Linked DNA regions of Drosophila melanogaster. Changing the gene in region 4 together with the main gene of any one other region gives a genetic interaction. Each region holds a gene or a part of one and is shown on either strand. Other genes may lie near its edges.

Region 1 (5,004 bases), on a different chromosome or scaffold from region 4:
CAGACTCATTTACAAAGTGTTTTTATTTGGCCGAGCAAGTTTGATCTGCCTTTGCAGATAGCGATACCTAAAAAAAAAAAAAAAAAAAAAACTAAAAACTTATTTCACACCGAGTGGTATATGAAAAATAGGTACATATATGTACGAACAATGCGTGGGAAGTGTTTTCTGAAGCGAGGAGAGCATAATTAAAACCTAGGCATAGTCAGCTGTGATAAAAGATCTTGAAATGCGATGGAGCAACAACAAAAGCCATGGGGAAACACTTGAGAGCCTGGGCATAAAACAAATAAAACCTGTATAAGGCAAATGTGTTGAGAGAACTTTGGAGATGCTGATACGATGATGTAACAAACTAAAGTCAGCTAACAAATATGTGATTGCGCGCGCGACTTTGTCAAGAATCGTTTGTTGGAAGAAATCTCAAGATTTTCAAATGTTAAATGCTTTACAAACGGATATCGTAGATCGTTGGTAACGGGCGATTAATCATTTAATTGGAAAATAACAAAGTCATTACACGTATTTAATGCACAATTCATTGATAATCAGGTATATAAAACGTATTTTGAAGACATTCGGCAGACATATTTGGCCATTATGGACAATTATCATCAAGTGTGTATAACTTTTGCATTAGGCCAACATTATTATTCGTAGAAAACAAACTTTAATGTTGGCCATAATGGACTTGGCCTAGAAGAAACATAGAAATAGAACCCATTTCCGTGATTTGTCTCCCTTGACAAAACTCCATTAGAAGTGAAATTAGAGCAAATCACAGCTTGATGGCTATAAATTAGGCTAAGTTGGCCGACTTGCGCTATCTTCTCCCTTCTGGCCAAGTTAGCAAACATGCCGGAGATGCCGAACAAAAGATGAGAAAACTACATATATACCAAAAACTGTGTCACTGCGAAAGATCGTGAAGATTATGAGTCAGTGTTTTCAACTCTATTGTTAATCTATTCTCGCCTGCCAGAGAATTATATTTGAAAAGGTCAGAGGTGAAACAGCTAACAAATTGCTCGGCTATATCTTGCAAATAATGTAAGATTTTGTTTACACTTTTGATAACGATTAAATTTCTCTGGAATATGAATGGCTCATATTCTACAGACCGATCTGAAATCAAAACTGGTTTCGCATTTTGTAAATAATAAGGCAAACTACACAAAGAGCAGTTATTGATTATTTAAGCACTCAGTTTTAAAGGAACTGAGAACGCATTTTTTTTTGACATACTTCAGCTATTCACTTCCCCCCGTTCGCATTTCGTTCAATTGGTGAGAGCTTTTAACGCCCCTTGGCAACCAAACAAACAAACAAATAATTAGGAAATGTTGGTGAAAGGGGGAAAGGGGTCAACACATACGATTAAGTGAGTCATAGATAAATGAAATTATTCAATATAAAACAAGCTGGCACTCAAATTGATCTTGAACTTGAGCCTAATTAGAAACTGTAAAACCATTTTTCTGTGTCACGTTTTTCAGTTTTCCTCATTTGCTTTAGGCGTGTTGGATAAAAAGATGGAACATTCAGATGCGCATAAAGTTGAAGCGGATTAACTAACGATCACCATCATGATGATCTAACGCTAATGTCAAAATGGTTCTCCGATTAGCAACAGAACCCGAAAATCGGCACGTTCGTGGAGATAATGAGAAATGGGGAAAGGGAAAGATGGTAGCGGAAAACGGGTCACTGTGAGAAAATAACGCCACAGAGCGAATGCCATCAAAAGCGATCTCACAAAATAACAGAGATTAAAACCAGACACCGTTTCTGCGAATTTTCTTGCATTTCAAACGACAATTTTCGAGTGCCAAAGAAGGTTCTTAGAAATTCGAAATATGTGATTAATGAAGAAATGTGCTTAATAAACTTGTCATTTAAAAAAAAACTCAACTGTATTTAACTGTTGGTTAAATAATATTTGTATAATGTTAAATTATTACTAATACTTGGGAAAATTCGGCAAATGTTATTTAGAGCGGCGTAAACGAGATCCCAAAGCGGAATTGGGATAAAGAGAAGTTTAAAAAGCAAAGGGGCGATGGGGGCGTGTGCGTGCTTGCTTGTGTGTGTGTGTTTGTGTGTATGAGTCAACGCGCAAAATGCGGGCGGCGACTGCACCTTGCACACCCCGCAAAAAGAGAGGGCGATAAAGCAGGAGAGAGCGGCAGCGAGAGCGAGAGAGAATAAGGTCAAGCGGGGTGCGGCAACAAATATTTCTGCTGATAGCCGTTGATAAAAGGCTCTCGCCGCCCTTCTCCTTTTCTTTCTCTCTCTCTCTCTATCTCTCGCTCTCCGTGTGCTCATCAGTCCGCTCCTTTCCTTTATTTTGCTGAATGGAGCACACACACAAAAATGCCAAGCGCAATACCTTTTATTTAGTTTACATTTAAATATTCAACAAAGCAAATAGCAGCAGAAAGATTTCACTGCTGAGTTTTTTTTTCACCTCTTGCTTTGCTCACACACATATACACACACACACACACACATCCACTTTCTTCGACGTCGACTGCAACGCCGGCAGCGGCGCCTTTTGGCGGCTTTTACAAATTTTGTTTATGAAACAAAAAACCCCTGTGTATATTCCTTTCTGGGATTTCATCGGTGTATACACCCAGATAAAAAGAAAGAATCTTTCCACACGGCAGACATCATGAAGAACAACATACGAAATATGCGTAATCACTCTATAATGCTTTAGCTGTAAATGCTTTTGCTTCTCTTTCCTCCTTTTTGCGTACTTCGTTTTCTTCCTTCCTTTTTATTGTATTTTGCGCGTCCGCTTTGGCCTGTCGCTTCGTTTGTTGTTGCTTTGCTGTGTTATCTCGCACTTGATGCACTAAACTAAACAAAAAAGTTACAGGCGCGATCGGAGAATCGGCAACTGATGAATTAACAGGATCGGAACGCAACAGTAAATTGGCTGCTTTTCGGTTTCTCTTCTCGTTCGCCGCACACCGCAATTAAAGTTCCGTTGGTTTTGCTTGCTTGAAAGAAACTAGTGTGAAAGTGGAAAAATACCACAGAGGTGCACCAATGTGACCGCTCTGCCATCGATCAATTATACCAAGCACAAGCATCACTAAGAATAACACAAAAATACCAATAAGTTCCGTCTTATATTGAGGTGGGTGTGATCGCTAAGGCTGGTGGGTGTACTCGCTTTGCTGGTTGATGTACTCGATAGGCGAGCGAGCGAGTTGTGCACTCGCTGGCGAGCGGTTTAAGTATCCGATAACTATGGTTGGTGCACACGCTAAGTAACAAGTGACCGCTAAACTGCTACTTTAACAGACACAACTGTGCATGTTAAGCGCACTCATCGTTCCGCCAGATGGCTTCTTTGCACACTCGTTTCGGTATTTTTTTTACACCAACTTACAGTATATTTTTAGGCCATTTCTGCGTGTGTGCGTTCGTGTGAATATTGTGAATATTTTTTTTACTGTGAAAATAGACAAAAATCGGCTGTGGAAAACCGAAGTAAACACATTTGGGAATCATGGCGATTGGCCCTTAACCTTAACCCTTAAGTGTCGTGCCGACAGTGCCACGCCACAAACCCAAATCCCAAAGAAACAAAAGCGAAAGAAAAAAAAAAAAGAACAACAAAAAGCTATAGTTGCAGCCTCTGAAAGTTTAAGACAATCGCCGATCCGATCGGAAGCGGAAGATATATGCTCGCCACACCAAATGGCATGGTAAACACCTCTCGTTCCTCTAAATGTGATGTCGATGTCGGAAAAGCCGTAGAAATCGTACAATTCCTAAAATCGCAAACTTAACCTCGCAGCGTTGTGTGCAAAAACGGAGAGGGGTGGGGGGGAAACAACGGAAAAAAAAGGCAACGCAAAGCAAAGCAAACGAAAAGCGAAGCGTGTGCGAGCGAGAGGCGAGTGAATAGCATTGTTGTTATTGTTGTAGTGACTTTTATTTTATCTCAGCCGGCGATTTAATTCTCTCGCACTCACACATATTCACGCGAATAAAAGTAAATTCAAATAAATACACTCGCAAAAACAAATTGGCACCGGTAACAATTCAAAAAAACTTATGCACATGTGTGTATGTGTGTGTGTGTGTGTGTGTGTGCACTTAGGAGCAGTTGGAGGCGTGGCATGTGTGTATGCCAATTAGTACGGCTAGTTGTTGGGTCGTTCATTTTGCTCCTTCCCGCTATCAGACTCGCTCTTTGCCCTGCATTTTCTCGCCGAGTGCAAAAGGAAAATAACAAAAAACCTCACTCCAATTGGAGATTCGAGATGCCGATCTCTAAAGCGCAGGCAGGGCAACAACAAAAGCGCCAAGAAGAAGACGGAAAAGGGAAAGATTCGAACTAAAACCTATTGGGATTTCATCTTGGAACATTAACCCTTAGGCGGGCTGAAATGTTGTTTAAATCATATTGAGAAATTTCCCAATAAAAGCGTATTGCATTTAAAAGGATGCCAAGTTTTTCAATTATACAAGTGTAGTTTATGAGCGTGTTTTTAATGAAATACCTAAACATGGCCAGGTTTTGGCAAAACCTCTGCTTGCATTCAATTATAGCACACACAATTATTTCACTGAAACTCAATTGATAATACAATACATATTTGGTAATTTCTTGTTTGCTGCTATGAGCAAAACAAAAACGTTGATAAGATGAAATGCCTTTAGATAGGGGCCTTTATATAAGCCACACAGTGCGTGCTAAAAATATGCATGTGGCAAATTAGTGATATTAAATTGTTATTTATTAATTTTTTCAGATGAATTTGTCACTTTATTATTGCCATGGCTCTGACAAATCTTGTCGCACTCGTTGCCGACATTTGCAATCGATCAATATTAAAATATTGAATAACTAAACCAACCACGAGCTAAAAGAAAAATTTCAGAAAAACTTTTGTATCTGAATCGAAAACAAAAAAAAAAACAAATTCCTATCGGCGCTTATAATCACAAAGTAATGGATCAATTTCAAACTTCACTAAATCC
Region 2 (7,554 bases), on a different chromosome or scaffold from region 4:
AGGCGGCGGCACCGACGGTGGCAGCGCCGACATAGAATCCAATAGCCATGTAACTAAAAGTTCGATTGAGGCCAAGTTAATACCGATTAAAGGATGTGTGCTTTTTGAGTAACCCACCGGAAGAACAACCATCCGGAAATGAGACCCTCATCGGCCTTCCTGGGGGGCTTCTCCATGATATCCAGATCAGGGGGGTTGAAGCCCAGAGCGGTGGCTGGGAGACCATCAGTAACCTGTGACCAAGTACCTATTACTAACCATTTTAAGTAGTAAATACCCCATCAAGACGTACCAAGTTAACCCAGAGCAGCTGGACGGGAATCAGAGCCTCGGGCAGGCCAAGGGCAGCAGTAAGGAAGATGGAGACGACCTCACCAATGTTCGAAGAGATGAGGTAGCGGATGAACTGTTTCATGTTGTTGTAGATAGCGCGACCTTCTTCAACGGCAGACACGATGGAGGAGAAGTTGTCGTCAGCCAGCACCATTTCGGCGGCAGACTTGGCGACGGCGGTACCAGAGCCCATGGCAATACCGATCTCAGCCTTCTTCAGGGCGGGGGCGTCGTTCACACCATCACCAGTCATAGCGGAGATTTCGTTCATGCTCTGCAGGAACTCAACAATCTTGGACTTGTGCTGGGGCTCCACGCGGGAGAAGAGGCGGGAGCGGGCGACGGCAGCCTTTTGTTCGGTGGGGGAAAGGTCGTCGAATTCACGACCCGAGTAGGACTTGCCAGTGGTGTCCTCATCCTCGGCGAATACACCGATTCTGCGGCAGATAGCCTCGGCAGTGGCCTTGTTGTCGCCGGTGATCACAATAACACGAATACCGGCGGCACGGCAGCGGACAATGGAATCGAAAACTTCCTTACGGGGGGGATCCAACATGCCCACAACACCGACGAAGGTCAGGTTAACCTCATACTGGTAGAACTTGGTGGAGTCGCCCAGATCCATCTCGTCGGGCTTCATGGGGCTATCGGCAACGGCCAGAGCCAGGCAGCGAAGGGTGTCGCGTCCAGTACCGTACTGGCCGGTCAGGGCGAGGATCTTGGCCTTCAGGGCCGAGGTCAGAGGAACCTTGGTGGTGCCAACGCGGGCGTGTGTGCAACGCTCTAGAACACCCTCGGGGGCGCCCTTCACGAACAACTTGGGGCCAGTGCCCAGGCGGGAAGCCTTCAGGGGGGTGCAGTACGAGGACATGGATTTACGATCGCGAGAGAACTCCAGGGTGAATTCCTTCTTCCACTTGGTTTCGATCTCACCGCGGCAGGCGATGGCAGCCGAGCGGCGGTCCAGGCCAGACTTGTTCACGCTGAAGCTGTTCAGTTTCTCAGCCAGCACAATCAGGGCGGTCTCAGTGGCTTCGCCGACCTTCTCGAAGGCCTGCTTGAACTCATTGTAATCAATGGCGGAGTCGTTGCACATGATGCAGATGGTGGACAGTTCCTGCAGGGTATCGTAGTCAGCAGCCTTGATGCGCTGACCGTTGAGGAAGACCTCGCCGATGGGCTCGTAGGTGGAGCCGGTCATCTCGAATTCGAGGAAGCTGCTGTCGTTGCCTTCAACCTTGTCGAAGATGAACATGCGGGAAACGGACATTTGGTTGGTGGTGAGTGTGCCGGTCTTATCAGAGCAGATGACAGATGTGCAGCCCAGGGTCTCCACGGAGGGCAGGGAGCGGACGATGGCATTCTTCTTGGCCATGCGGCGGGTGCCCAGAGCCAGACAGGTGGTGATGACGGCGGGCAGACCCTCGGGGATGGCAGCCACAGCCAGAGCGACGGCGATCTTGAAGTAGTAGATGGCACCCTTGATCCAGGAGCCTCCGTGAGCGGGGTCGTTGAAGTGGCCGATGTTGATGGCCCACACGGCAACGCAAATGACGGAAATGACCTTGGACAGCTGCTCACCGAACTCGTCCAGTTTCTGCTGCAGGGGGGTCTTGATCTCCTCGGTCTCGGACATCTCAGTACGGATCTTGCCGATGGCGGTGCTCAGGCCAGTGCCGATGACGACGCCACGGGCCTTGCCGGCTGCGACGTTGGTGCCGGAGAACAGGATGTTCTTCTTGTCCTGGTTGACGGCGCGGGGATCGGGGATGGCATCGGTGTGCTTGATGACGGAGACCGACTCACCGGTGAGGATGGACTGATCGATCCTAAGGGTGGTCGAGTAGATGTGGGTGATACGGATATCGGCAGGGATCTTGTCACCGACAGACACCTCAACCAGGTCACCGGGCACGATCTCTTTCGCGCGCACCTTCTGGATGCCGGACTTGTCCTGGCGCACCACCTTGCCCATCTCAGGCTCGTACTCCTTGAGGGCCTCAATGGCCGACTCGGCGTTACGCTCCTGCCATACTCCCACCACGGCGTTGGCTATCAGGATAAGTAAAATAACTAGGGGCTCTACAAATGCAGTGAACGTTTCCTCGTGTTCCTCAAACAGGGCGAGAACCTGGGGATTGCAGAGGGGAAGAGTGTGGTCGTAACTAAGTTTTTGAGGGTGGGTTTCTTTGTGCTGCTGCACTTACAAATGAGATGATGGCTGCCAACAGCAGAATCTTCACCAGCAGATCGTCGAACTGCTCCAAGACCAGCTGCCAGATGCTCTTTCCTGTGGAATACAATCGTTATTATAATGTATGCATACAGTGAAGTGGGGGTGGGGGGCAGGGGATCTGCTCGGGTTGTGTTCGCACCTTCCTCAGTCGGCAACTCTGTAACGATAAGAAAACAAACACGTCAGTCGATTCGGTCTCGGAATGTGGAGGGGAATTACGCGCGACTCTCACCATTGGGTCCGTATTTCTTCTGGTTAGCCTTGATCTGGTCGAGGGTTAAGCCGCGCTCGGGGTCCGTTCCGAAGAAGTTGAGGGACTGTTCGACGGTTTTCGAGTGACCGTCTTCCATCTTGATTCGTTATCCTCTTCGTTCAGTGGCCTGTGTCCAGATTCCGGGGCGATTCAGGTGGGGATTTGAAAGTAGACACAAGGCAAGGGGCTCATTTTAATTCTCTGGCAGGGCTATTTAGCTATTTTGCCGTTTTCTGGGCTCTATTCAACGACTGACTGGAATAGCAAGTGTGTATGCACGTATGTATGCACATACATCTGTACTGGCATGTACGTTTGCAGTTAAAACTACCTCATTAGGTTCTGAATAAGTGGTCGTACATGTGCATGTGCACGGCACTCGGCTCACGGGTACTTTCCAACATACGCACATACACAGGTGCTACATGCTAATTCCCCGATTTCAGGCACTTCTGATCGGGCCCGGACTGGCCACTAAAGTCGCGCAGTTATCGCGCCAACTTAGGATCGGATTGTGCGGATCGGGTCGGAGAATATGCTGGAATATTGCATTACTATGATGGGCTGTTACCCTGGCCAAATCGCTCCGCTTATGAGATTCACACACGTGTCACTTCGCACAACAGACGCAGTTTTCGTTTTTCTATTCTCAGTTTCTGCGGGGGATTGGGGGATCTGGTCCGTAATACGGGTGCTCTGCTCCTACGTTAACCTCGCTAAACGACGCACTGCGTGTGTTAAGTACTTTTTTCCACTGACTCTCTATATAATATAACCCATGGCGCTTTTTTCTGAATATGTGTGCTGATAACTATTGCACTAAGTACCAAGCCGCGATTTACTGCCTATCGCCGTTCTGCCTCACTATGACACGACATTATTCGCACAAGACAGGGCTGACTGAAAACGTATATCGTCCGAGTTACGTTATTTGTGCAGAGCTGCCTCTTTCTCCAACTTTTAAGAATTCTCAGTCCTGGCAATTATTAGATAATTATCCCACCTTTTAGCTCAGCTTCTACTGACGCGTTCAATTTGTGCTACTAAACTGCGATAGCCGGCGTTATCGATAACTGAGAATCTCAACTGCGATGGCTAACTGTTGAGTTTCCGTGTTCAGTAATACCGATAGCTGAGGTGATATAGGAATTTAAAACTAATCAAAGTTTCGAAGGAATTCAGCTGTGCTGGAAAGTTTCTTTATTGGAAAATACCTCTAACCTTATAAATCAAGTTGTTATTGCGATCGAAAACCAAATGTTTTTACTCCCTTCTGTGGTGTAAATCGAACTGAAATCCTTATCACGAATGCTTAAACTTATTTATACATTGTCATATTTTCACTTGGCAAGCGACAGAGACATCCGCACTATTTTGGCCACACAACAAGCAACACTATTCTTTTCGCGCATTTTGTGCTCAAATTAATGAGATCGAGATCAAGAGCCCGCAATAAATAGATCTGGGTGCCAGGTATTCGCCAGCAGCGACATTTTTAAATTTTAATTTTAATCTTTTTCGCGACCAGACACTAGAATCAGGCCATACGGGGAATTTTGAACGGCAGCCAACTCGCATAATACTTGAATATTACGCTGGCTACGTCACAGAATTACATACGTAACTTCTGATAACGAGGTTTCCACCAGTTGCCCGCCCACAAAAGGCGTTAGTTTTCAAAAAACTGTCAATCAATGCGCTCGAATACTACTTATATTTTGAGCACAGAGACGTGTGTTTCGAAAACATCTTCATGCATATAGCCTATATATACCCCTAAAATACACATGTGTGTGTGCATTATGGAGCAAAAAATCGCCTCTGTCCGAGATGGGCTAAAAATAGAGTCCTAGCACCCGAAAAATACAGCTCAATTCTGAACACTCGTAGATATAAAGATATGTACTAGGACCACATAAATAAGTTTGAGTACATATACAGAGAGACGATCGTAGGGAGAAAGATTCCTATTCTGCGCGGTTATATGTACGATTTAACGGCTTATGATATTGCGAGCAGAGATATCTCCATGCTAATGGATGTCGACACTTGTGCGATATGCTGCTTCCCACGTCCCCGAATCCGAATTTCTGATTGACAAGTCCACCGATGGGTTGTATAATAGTGGGTGGGTGGGTTCAAAAATAAGTACAAATGATTGGGCCATGATCCTGGGCTGAATGTACTTATAGAGCTACACGTTTCTGTAAAACTGTCTGTTGGTTTCAGGGATCTTTTGCAACTGAAAGGCAGTCAAATTCACTAACCGATGTAACCACCATTAAGCTATGAATGCGGGTAGTTAAGGAGTTCAAGAGATCGTGTGTTCTATGCTTGTTACAAGGGCTACAGGTACAGTACAAGACATGGATCTTTCGAATTTGGGTACGAATATATTCGCCACGGTTGCGGTTGTGGTTGCATAACCAGATTTTCAATCACAGATACATAGATCTCGGGCACTTGGAAAACTTTACATCTGTGTCGGATCGAATCTATTCGTGGAGTGCTCTCGTATTGGTGACATTCAAATTTTCGATACCATCCGGAGGTCGAGGTCACCGCCGAATCGTCGCCCTTACGGATATTTCATGTATGTAGATAGATCGAACTACGAGCTCTGGACGAGCTCCAGGGTGGCAAAGTAAACTGGGGGCAAACACTTTGAGTTTGAAGCACGGTTTTCGAGTGTAAGAAGCATGTTCGTATGTAGATATGTAGGCATTTCAATAACTTTTGGTTTCCAGGTTTTCTTTTCTTTTGAAAGCGCGCGGACGAATTTTCGATAGTTTTTAGGGGGGTTTATTTGCTTTACCCAATGGTTTTGGCAGTTTGGAGTAATTCACTGGCGTATTCGCTTTGCAGTTGTTGCAGAAAATCAACAAAACTTACAATTATTATTCCTAGCAAAAATTCCGTTATTATATAATAATTTATTTCAGTCGGAAGACCAAGACACAAAGATCGCGCTATTATAACGATCAACGGCAACTGAACGCAAGGAGAACGCTGCGCGATGAGAGTGTCTATTTGAATTACAAAATTCATATATTTTGGCAAAATTCCCAAAACTACATACACTCTCTATTTTGGCCCGGGAAAATACTTTTAGCACGCACAAACTTTTGAGCACTTACCACCTATCCAATCCAATCCAATGCGATCCGAATTCGAATGGTGGCGGTTCAGATCTGCTCGTGCAGCTCGTTCGTACCTCGACGAGGCAGATTCACCGTGGTCCCCCAGAGATTCGTATATGTGGCTAGGTATAGGTGGGAATACCACAATACCACGGGCACACGAGCTCCCCATCCACATACATACATACGTACATATGGCCGCCCGATCTCGGATCCGCGGGAGCGCACGGCCACGAAAGTCTAGAGCAATGGCAATGTGGCGATGCGAGATCACTTGTGGACGTGGATGTGGTTGTGGATGTGGATGTGCCTGGGAGTGTGAGTGCAGACGTATTCCGAGAAATGCACGTGTGTTTGTCTAATATTTAGAAAGTGGTATTTTTAAACCAATCTGGGGAAATTATGCTGGGTTGTGTGGAAGGGTTTGTCACTCAAAGGTGTTTCTACCTTCGGTGTCAGCCACTTCAAGTGGGTCAAGACTTGGGTCCTTTGGTGGGGGGATGGTTGGGAATGATGGCACTGGCACTGACGCATTCCACTTTCGCCGAGCTAGAATCCATCATAGTTATCCATAGCTGCTGCCCTTTGAATATTTTACTTGTCCTTGGCAAATACAACAGATCCCAAATCCCAGCCCAAATACTCATTTCCTCAATCTAGTTGATCTCGATCCATTAACAGCTGAAAGAGCATCCACCAGTCGGCCTGCGAACCCCTAGTTCTTCGTTTGGCTTTTCTGCCTTTTTCCCCAATTTCAGCAGAGACTGGCAGCCGTCGACTATTTTTATTTATAGGCTTGTAATGCCCCTACGGACTCGGACTCTCAGATATTGGCAAGAGCGCTCTCCGCACACGTTTCTGCCGTATGATATCCGCCATCAGCCATCCGCCTTGTGCAGCAGCTATTACGACTTTTCACAGAGACCCCCATAAATATGCATTTGGCTACTATTTTACCTCTATATGTCTAGGCCAGAACTTTTATAAGCTACCTATGTGTATATTTAAAAATGTTGATAAATGACAATGCAGCCAGGAATTTTGATTTATTTTGGGACTGGCAAATCTGGGTTTGATGCGGTTGTCAACCGCTGGATATTGTCTATTTAGGAACTCGGTATATGGTAATGGTTCCAGATTCCAGCAATCTCAAGCAATCAAGCGAAGTGATCATTTAAAAACAAATACAAACTGCAAAATAATGTTTTTTAACACTTAATTGCCTTATAAATGATAACTTTTATTGCATAATGCTCTGGCCAATCTTCCTTTATAAAAAAGGGATATTAAAGTAAAAACAGGCAAAATATATTGAATTCAAATGCATTTTGAATCATTTCATCAATCGGCAAAACACTACTTATGCTGCCTCTTATTACACAACCATTTGCCAATTATTCATTTTTTCATAATTTCAAATTGCGTAATAACAAAGAGAAGACATCGCCACCCTTAACATCAGATCAATCACCTAGCCAGTTCCTCCTAAAATCTCTACGTCACGAAAGTATTTAGGTCCAAAAATAGAGCCACAACTGAAAGTTATCACATACATTACTATTTACTTGCGTTAACATTTAGTATATTCTAAT
Region 3 (4,816 bases), on a different chromosome or scaffold from region 4:
TTCTCTTTGGTTTCAACAATCACTGGGTCACACCGATAACGATAACATCGCAACCACAAATCGCTTGCCTACTTTTAAGGGCCCAGTAAATCTGGTTGCATTTGCATTTAAATTAACTATTGCCCTATTTTGAATAGTTCATTTTCAATTGCGCAAAGCAATGTCTTTTCTTTAAAAGCAATTCTTGTTATTTATTGCAATTGTATAGTTCCAGCTCTATTTTCCCTAGTGACGTCACCAGGCACAGTTGTCTGAAATTTTTTTTTTTTTTATGTTGACGATGTCTTTCGGAACGATTTTGGGTTTTTGGAATGGGCAGAAGCTATATATATCTGTGTGTCTAACTACAATCGGGCCACAGTGAGACCAACGAACCTGTAATTGCCAAAAATAAACAGCAACAATGACACACTTGCCATCGTTGCCCCCTCTAAACTAACGCTTTTTGTTATTTCTTTTTTTCTGGAAACTGTTACACTTTTAATTGGGCTTAAAGAACCAACTAACTGAAATTTGATATGTCGTTATAAGTTTAGTTACAGAGCACACGACTACCACAATATTTGTTCATATGCTCGCATTCAATTCCCCATACGAGTATTCATATGAGCATTGTTAAAAGAACAGAGACAAACAAATTTTTCACTTCCGTGAAGAGAGGAGAACCATCATTAGAATTCGTTTCCGGTATGGAAAACATATACATGTGTAGATTTGTATGTGTGTGTGTGGGTTGGGGAATTTACGACTAGTAAATATTTGTGTGGACTGAGAATATAGTTAATTTAAATATTAATTTGGGGGGTGCTTCCTGCTACATCGCCGCAATTCATTCACCTCGAAAGTGCGTGTACACGTCACAAAAATAAACGATATACCGATAGGCTAAAAAACACCCGAAAACTCCATATCTCCTTTTCCTTCTCCTTCAGCTTTAGCTTTGGCTTTAGCTTTTCCTTTCGCCTTTGCTTTTCCACTTGCCTCTTGCCACATCCACTTCCACTTCCATCCACCGCAATATATAGCACCACCGACGCAACATTCCGCCCGTTGTGCTACCGACCCGCTGACCCAATCCCAACAACTATGTATATATATATGGCTATACATATATATGTATATGTATATGTATATGTATATGGATATGTATATTCGTGCGGGTGTGTTGGTGTGTGTGTGGTGCGTTCGTGGGGCTTGTTAACTTTAACTTTTACAACTGGTTTTTAAGGATAGCTTCGGTAATTGGGATTTGAAACGAACGCATATATATATGTATATGAATGTGGCTAAAAATAAAAATTAGATCTGGTTGCCTGGAGGAGCACAATCAGAGGTCGTTTATTGGCTTCAGTAAGCCCGAATAATGCTTTTCACTTGGTTTCCCGATATCTTTTCTTGCTATTTTTGCTGTCCTCGCCGCCATTGTCGCCAATTCGACGTTTTGCCATTGGGTTTTTCACGATTTTTCACGATTTTCACGCTTTTCCGACTATATTTCTTGTTCTTGGTTTGGATGTTTGTAGTGTTATTTTCACCACTCGACCCGAATTCGGATGCCAGCGCACACAACATTCGAAATGTGGAATTTTCACAGCACTTTTAACCCCGCATTGCGAGTGATTTTCACTTGATTTCTTTAACGCCAGGCTTCTGTATTCAGCCACATTTTAGTTGTCGCACATTTGCTGTTAAATTGACTGGGTCCCGAGTTAAAAATAAAAAACAAAAACCGCTTCTACGGGAGCTGTCACCACCGACTTTGTCTCACCAGTTGGACGAAAAACTCAACAAAACGCAAGACTTCAACTCGGCGACTTTGTATCACATACTACCACATCGCCAGGGTCCAAACACACGCACAAAGGGCAAAAATATGGGGAAAAAAATCTACCAGCCCTGCGCTCTGCATCCGCCCGAAAGCTCTGGTCCAAGCTTCAGTTCAAGCTCAATCGGACAATCGGAGGTGGACACACTGGCCAGCCAGTGCGGAGGAGAGCGCATGCGTGTCCTCCAAGGAAACCCGCTCCTAGGACCGTTACAGTCGTCGATTGAGCTTTAAGCTCCGCTTGCTCTTCACCCCTTGGGAACAAAACTATCGAACTTTCGAGAAATCGCGGTTTTAAAATCCGGGCTTAAATCATACTGCTAAAGTTTAAAAAAAAAGCGAAGCGACGAAGTTTAAGCTACTTACCCATTCTAAGAGTTTTTTTTTTAATTGATTTAAGTAATTGATTTACTACTGCCACAATTGTTGATAAAGCTTTAAGCTTTAAGAATACTTTCAACCCCTTGTAGTAAAAACTTTTGCATCAAGATATCGGTTATTTGAAAACCCGGCTTTAACCGAATTACAAATGATCAAAGGCGCTCTCATACTTGACCTAATTAATTAATATATAAAACAAACAACATATTTTACTCTATTTCAGACTTAATTTTATCTCTGTACATTTCAATAACCCTCGTCAATTACCTTTGCATACTATCTTTAATAATAATGAATTTTTACCAATTTTCAATACTTTTCTAAATATCAATTGATCTTTTAAAATAATGTTAAGTTTAAATAATTTATATTTAAATTGGTAGTGGTACTCACATTAGGTCGCCTAGATTCGGTCGCGTCTGGACAAGAGCAAAACTTTCCGGAGCCCGGCGCCTTTTGTTAGACCCTTGCGAGCCGTAGTGCGTGCTCCGCCGGATGACGCCATCGCCGATGATGGCAATATTGTCATCCAGACCGTTGATGTTGCTAATGGTCAATCGCGCCATAGGAGATGAGCCCCTTCGGCGACGAGCTCCCACTCCGCCCAGCATTCTGGGAATCGATGAATCGAACTTTGCAATACGCGAAATGTACTCCAAATATTGCCATTTCTGTAATATATTCACTACCAACTATCGGGCACGTTCACAATACAATGCGTTGCACTTGTTTGGGGATCTTCAACGATTGCGAATGTCCGTAGACGACGGGCCCAGAGCCCCAGGTGTGATGCACCAGCTGCCACGGTCCGGACGGAACTGATAGTCGATGGCTACGACTGCTGTCGATGCCCCAACAACCCAGCAAGATAGATAACGGCCCAGATGGCGATGACGACGATTGCGGCTGATGACGTGCGATGACGTGCTTGATAGTAGTCAGCATTTGCGCAGTACAGTGTCTGCCGCTGGTAATTAGGGTGTCCAGGTGTCCATGGGTGAACGCCGCTCAGACGGGCCAGGCCGCCCACTCCGGCATATTAGCAGCTTCCTTTGTTCACGAGCGCCAACAACACACTGATAACAAAGGCATGGTAAACGTTACTGTATTACAATTAATTTCGATATCAAACATACCTGTGATTCTTTCAACATACACGTTTTCTATATGTGGTCAGAGGAATTTAAACATTGCAAATTTCGAGATTTTTAATGTTAATATTATGGTGGAGATCTAAAAGCGCAGCGATTCTATGGGAAAATTCCTTTTTGGCTTTCCCGTGCCATAATTTATTATTTGAATTGCCCTACTGTCTTAGATAAAAATAAAACTGAAATGCCATAATCAGAAGTTTTCGTAATGAAACTAGCAAAAAAAAAAAAAGAAAAAACCGATAACCGCTAATTACTCCGAGTAACTTTTGCCCATCGCCATGCCCAAGGGGCTATTATCACAGCGCTCACTTAGAAATGCGTTCCCATACACATTTCGGATGTGATTCAAATTACAAAGGCCGTGATCCAGTCCAGAAACTTGGCCACGTCGGCATATATAATGTACTGATTCTTACAGCAAAGCTTATGGCTAGATTCCGCATCCGGTGTCTCTACGGCGGGCAGGGCCGCTGATACTGTGCCACGCAGCATCCAGCGATTGTTCCGGCGGATGAAAAGTCCGGCCCCCGATATACCGGTGTAAATGCTCGCCCCGCTCTGATGCGTATCTCGTTCCTCCGCCTGGATGCCGGCGCAAAACGTTCGGTTTGAGGATAGGCTGCGAAAGTGGGCATTGGCTCGAAAGCATTCGGCATTGCCGACAATGGGAGCCTTTACTACCTTGGGTGCACTGGCATCGGTGGACTTCTTGCCCGGTAGCTCCGACGACAGCTTCTGATCCCGCGTCCTGTTCGTTCTGTCAAAGCTCCAGCCGATGACGATGCCCCGCTCGCCCACAATGTACTCCGTTTTGCTGGAACCAGACCACAGGCAAGCGGGTCGAATAAAGGTGTTAAATCTGCGTTGAAAATAATGGTATACTGTCAATATAATAAATGATCTTCATATTCGATTTCACATCGCGGTTTAGATATGAATCTAAATCTTGAATATGTAAGCTTTAGGCATATTGGCACCCACCGAACTTCGTCCTTGAGTATAATCACTGCGATATCCGCATCGTAGCTGCTCAGCTGACTGTTAAAGTCGGGATGAATGTAAATGCCATCGACGGGGGCCGCCAGAGATCCCTCCTCGTTCCAGTTCTTCAGATTGTGGCGGCCCAGAAAGACGAGCACCTCGTTGGATGTGTAGCGCTTGTTGAACAACTTGAAGCAGTGCGCCGAGCTGATTACAACGCGTGCCGAGACAAGCGAACCGCCGCACTGAAAGTCCAGGGAGGTCAGGTTGTTCACATAGATGGCCGCTAGCCAAGGCCACGATCCCCTGGTGATCGATGGCAGGCTATCGGCGCTATCGCTTTCTATCGCTTCTGCTTCTGATTCGTCCACAAACTGATGCTCCAGGACATCGTCTTCATCGTCATCGACAAAAACTGGCGATGTGATGCCATCGGAGCTCTTTGGTTCACCGATTGCGACATGAAGTGATTCCG
Region 4 (4,577 bases):
CAAGAGACCTCGGCCCACCTGAGCAGAAAAAACGTGAAGCACACAGATACTCACACAATCACACCAGACTGGCGCTGATGAGAACACTTTGCTTCTCATCCAGTCTGCTTCATTGATAACACCCGACCTCCGCATCCGAACAAACACACACACACCCTTAATAATTGCAGCCAAGTGGGCTGTGCACATCGGATGGGCGGGGGGCGGGCGCTTATATTTTATTTGCAGCTCCAGAATGTCGCTTACACAATTTGCCTGTTTATGTTAATTGCTGGCGCTCCCAGGCGCCAACCCCGGCCACTTTACCGCCCCCCCTTCCACAAAATCCCCACCAGCTGCTCAATTCAGCTTCGAATTATGCACATGCTCATGGCAAGCCCACATAAATTGGAGCAAACACACGATTGTGGTCAAAAAAATAAGCATACCTGAGAATCTTCAATGTGTTTTATTTATTTAATGTAATATCTTTGTGGTCAGTTTGTTTAAATGGTGACAAGTGGCAAAACTGAACAAATTTGGCTGGTTGGTAAAATTTATTGATTAAAAATCATGCACAAACGTTATCAGTATGTCAAATGCAATTATACGACAACTTTTGGAGAATTATCAACTACAGTTGAGGGATTCTGAGAGAATAACAAAAACAAATTGTGAATTTTTTAACTCTTTATATTAAAATTGATGACATCTGAATCGTGGTTAAAGAGAAAATAGTTGTCAAGTTCCAACTTTTTTTTTTAAATATACATATATAATTGCACAAAAACATAATAATCAAAAAAATTTTAATACTATACCGAACTAGCGTTTAAAAATTAGAATATATATGTACATTTTCTAGCCGGTTGATCAAAGTACCCGCAAATGACATCTCAATTGACTGGTTATCTTCAATAAATGAAACTCACTGCACATACTATCTATTGGTCCCATTGATTGTATAATTTAGTAATTTGTTCGACATTATAATGTGAATATAATTGATCGTAATTGTGTGATCATAGGCCCATTAACCCAATCATGATTACATGCAAATCAAGAAGTAGTGAAGTGCGCTCTTTCAATCGCAACAAAAAAACTTGGCCAGAGAGGAATTTGGCGATGAAAAGCCATTTTTTTACCCCAGGTAATGGAAATCATCGCGTGCAGCAGGCTCAACACGTCCACTTTTCATCCCCCTCCCCCATCTTTTTTGGTATCCCTCATCTTGCCTCTTACTCTATAGCTCGCCACCTGCCCAGTCAACACCAACAACAATGTGGCGCTTAATTAAGCACGCGTCGCCCAGTCAGCATCTCTCTTTCTCTCTCTCCCTTTCGCTCTCTCTCTCTTTTCCGCTGTCTGCAATCAAGATGTGTGCACTGAGAGAAAATATCGGCGCTAAGTTGATTTTCTCGAACGCAGATGCATTCAGTTCAGAGGACGTCAAGTGAGAAATTTCCAAAAGTGATTTGCATAACTTTAGGAACTGACAAAGAAATATTAGGATTAAAAAAATCCAAACTTTTCTCGAAACTGTGGGCGTGACTGTTTTGAACGGTTTGTGGGCGTTAGAGTGGGCGCGGACGTTGTGAATTAAACTTGCACATCTAGATTTTATAGATCCCGAAATCTCGATCTGATCAATAATATATGTATCCGGTATACCCTTTCACTCTACGAGTAAATACGAGTTTTAATTATGACTATGTTACTTCGTCATTATAATTCTTAAACACTCCCATTTGAAGAATTTTTGTATAACAACAAACAATCCCTCTCACCACAAAACAATTTTGGAAAGCATCACGTTCATATACATAGTGGCTTGAGTTGAAATCAACACTTGACTTCGGAGTTGATTCCCTAAGGATTTATTTATATTTTGTTTGAGTAGCTGGCATAGAACCATACCCCCGATAAGCAAATGTCTTCAATCAGTGGGATTTATATGTTTTTTCCTTAGCTTTTCTATTCGTGTAAGCAACAAATAGTGGCCACTGCAACGTAATTGAATCTCAGCGCATTTCTGGCCCTTTCGCTTTGGCTTATTGTCAATTATTGAGCGAAAGCAAGAGGCAAGAACGAAATCAAAATCAAGTGGGATCAAAAGGCGAGGGCGTGACTGCTAGATAATAGCTATCGCGGTAATTAGCCTATCGGTTCGGTCGTGATAGGCTTATTGCCTTATGACCTACTTAAATTGGTGGCAAGCCCTTCGGGAAACCAGAAAAACCAGTAACTGGGCTCGATTGGCAACAGGTTGTCGTTGTCGTTGTCGTGGGATACTCACCGTAGAATGTATGTAATGTAAAATATCCCTTGTAGAGATGTGCTACTGTATTGTGATTGGTATTGAATCATCCGTCGATAGACGACGATCGTAAATCGAATTTGACTTTATATTTATTTTATTCAAATGCAAACACTCGCGGGCACTCGAAAGAACTTAATATATTTTCACCTTGAGTGGGCCGCACTTAGCCGCGGAAAAGAGAGAATAACAATAAGTGGGAATACGGTGAGGAGGAAGAAGAAGGCCCAGAAACCACACACAATAACAATAACAATGCCGGGGCAGCGACGTCGGCAGAGGAGGTTTTGTCAATAAGAAATAACCGTTAAAACACGCGACAAACAATTCCGGCTGCGGGAAAGAGAGGCAGCATGCGATACAACGTCAACAATCGGCTCTCCCGACCCCACGATCCCGTTGACCACCCACAAGCAGCGCAGTCGCAGCGCAGCAGCAGCGCGGGCAAACAAAACGATTGTCGATTTCTACGCACTTTTCCCAATCACGCACACACACCCACACACGCACGTCGCGTTTAGGCCAACAAATTGAAATTGGCCAGCATTTCGGGCATAAATTACGCGCTCAAGGCGTATGAAAATGCAATTTTCCAGAGCGCCGCGTCATGCGCGACTTCGTGTACCGTACCGCTCAGCTCCTCCGTCTCCCTCACTCCAACGAAGTGCCAGCGCAGCGCAGATAAGGCGGACCGACGCGGAAAACCCCAGCGAAAACACGTCCGACTGAAAGCGCGGTCGAGCAACAAGTGTTTAAAAACCGTCGAACCATATGATCGATTAGTGTGACCGCGCGAAAAATACTAGTTAGCCGTTAATAAATGGTGTAATTGACATCTTAACTGTTTTATGCACACATATATAGAATTATTGACAGTAACACGTTAATTGCATTTACTATTGACAAGGAATGACATAAGCAAGTGTTTGAAAACCGCAGAACCAACCATATGATAAATTAGATGGGAGCGCATGGATAAAATACTAACATACTCTAAATACTAGTTAGCATGGCAGCACAGGGTAGAGATTTGAATCTTATTCAAATATTCATAGTTTTTTAGTCATCTGTGCTTGAAAATTCCAGATCAATGTTGATAGATTGGCCGAGGATTAAAATCTTTCCACTCATCGACTCACATACTTAGATTTTGCTTCTAATGCCTATTAACACAATGAAATGGTCACTCTAACGATCTTGCGTTGGTATTCATTTTTTCGCGATCTGGCATTACCACATATGTAAGAAAACACCGCGAATTCAAAGTTCTGCTTTTTCAAAAATGAGCAAAATAAACTTTAAGAAATCTTGTCTTTGACCATTCTCATTGCTGCAATGGGAAATGGAAAATGCCATTAATATGCGGCATCTCCCCTTTTCGACTTGCAGAAAATGCTGGATGTTTGCTCGAGAAACCATTGAAATCGTTGCACAAAACACCTCGTTTATCCTCCCCCAGAAACTATAGACTTCCGCATCATGGCTATGGCTGAGTTTGTTTTTTGCCGGCCATTGTTTGGGCTCGCCATTGTTCTCCTGGTGGCGCCAATTGATGCCGCCCAGAGGCACACTGCCTCGGATAATCCCTCGACGTACAACATTGGCGGCGTACTGAGCAATTCCGACAGCGAGGAGCACTTTAGCACCACAATAAAGGCAAGCCCATTGACTAACTGGATGCTCCACTAATCCGAATGCGATAATCACGCTTTCCCATCCAACCGCAGCACCTCAACTTCGATCAGCAGTATGTGCCGCGGAAGGTCACCTACTACGACAAAACCATCCGCATGGACAAGAATCCCATCAAGACGGTCTTCAATGTGTGCGACAAGCTCATCGAGAATCGGGTAAGTCGGTGGCCAAATGCAATTACCTGCTCATTTCCGACCATTCCTCCATCGCTTGAAGCTGCTCACATACTCGTATCTGTGTTTAACCCGACCTGGTTCGATTCATTTCCATAATTTAAGGGGAAATGATTCGGAAATGGGATGATGACAAGCGGTAATGCGCCAGCAGAATCCAATATCCATGAGCTAACCAACTGGAGCTCTTAGAGCGAAAGAGTGCTTAAATGTGCAAATTGAACTATAATTATACAATATTACTTTAAATGCGTTTTGTTGTTATGAACCAGGTTTGCAGAATGATATATAGAAGGAGTTTGTAGGGGTTTGGTTATTAGAAAGCTAAGATTTATAATCATAATTATCTTTTTAATTATTGATGGTCTTTAGTTGAGCTAAGTGATTTACAATATTGTCTACTATTTGGCAAC

Evidence for each region.
Region 1: of Itpr (region 4) and Rala, changing one suppresses a phenotype caused by changing the other (phenotypic suppression), as found in Drosophila melanogaster (one study listed by BioGRID).
Region 2: of Itpr (region 4) and SERCA, changing one suppresses a phenotype caused by changing the other (phenotypic suppression), as found in Drosophila melanogaster (2 studies listed by BioGRID).
Region 3: of Itpr (region 4) and cac, changing one suppresses a phenotype caused by changing the other (phenotypic suppression), as found in Drosophila melanogaster (one study listed by BioGRID).

The regions. Positions count from the first base shown.
Region 1 is NC_004354.4:3,716,601-3,721,604, forward strand, and holds the start of Rala (Ras-like protein A), read right to left. Parts: upstream 3,036-5,004; 5' UTR 2,763-3,035; intron 68-2,762; exon of another isoform or gene 1-67.
Region 2 is NT_033778.4:23,929,866-23,937,419, forward strand, and holds the start of SERCA (Sarco/endoplasmic reticulum Ca(2+)-ATPase), read right to left. Parts: upstream 6,020-7,554; 5' UTR 5,960-6,019; intron 5,816-5,959; exon of another isoform or gene 5,715-5,815; intron 4,220-5,714; exon of another isoform or gene 4,044-4,219; intron 3,876-4,043; exon of another isoform or gene 3,826-3,875; intron 3,580-3,825; exon of another isoform or gene 2,950-3,579; 5' UTR 2,920-2,949; coding exon 2,802-2,919; intron 2,727-2,801; coding exon 2,709-2,726; intron 2,624-2,708; coding exon 2,541-2,623; intron 2,465-2,540; coding exon 293-2,464; intron 234-292; coding exon 118-233; intron 54-117; coding exon 1-53. UniProt on the Drosophila melanogaster protein: This magnesium-dependent enzyme catalyzes the hydrolysis of ATP coupled with the transport of calcium.
Region 3 is NC_004354.4:11,982,078-11,986,893, forward strand, and holds the start of cac (cacophony), read right to left. Parts: upstream 3,011-4,816; 5' UTR 2,818-3,010; coding exon 2,600-2,817; intron 1,839-2,599; exon of another isoform or gene 1,759-1,838; intron 1-1,758. Other genes in the region: gd (gastrulation-defective), read right to left, coding at 3,706-4,219, 4,342-4,816. UniProt on the Drosophila melanogaster protein: Voltage-sensitive calcium channels (VSCC) mediate the entry of calcium ions into excitable cells and are also involved in a variety of calcium-dependent processes, including muscle contraction, neurotransmitter release, gene expression, cell motility, cell division and cell death.
Region 4 is NT_033777.3:5,515,587-5,520,163, reverse strand, and holds the start of Itpr (inositol 1,4,5,-trisphosphate receptor), read right to left. Parts: upstream 3,048-4,577; 5' UTR 2,276-3,047; intron 1-2,275. Other genes in the region: Nmdar1 (NMDA receptor 1), read left to right, coding at 3,776-3,952, 4,024-4,146. UniProt on the Drosophila melanogaster protein: Receptor for inositol 1,4,5-trisphosphate, a second messenger that mediates the release of intracellular calcium. Together with MCU, has a role in oxidative stress-induced ER-mitochondria calcium transfer.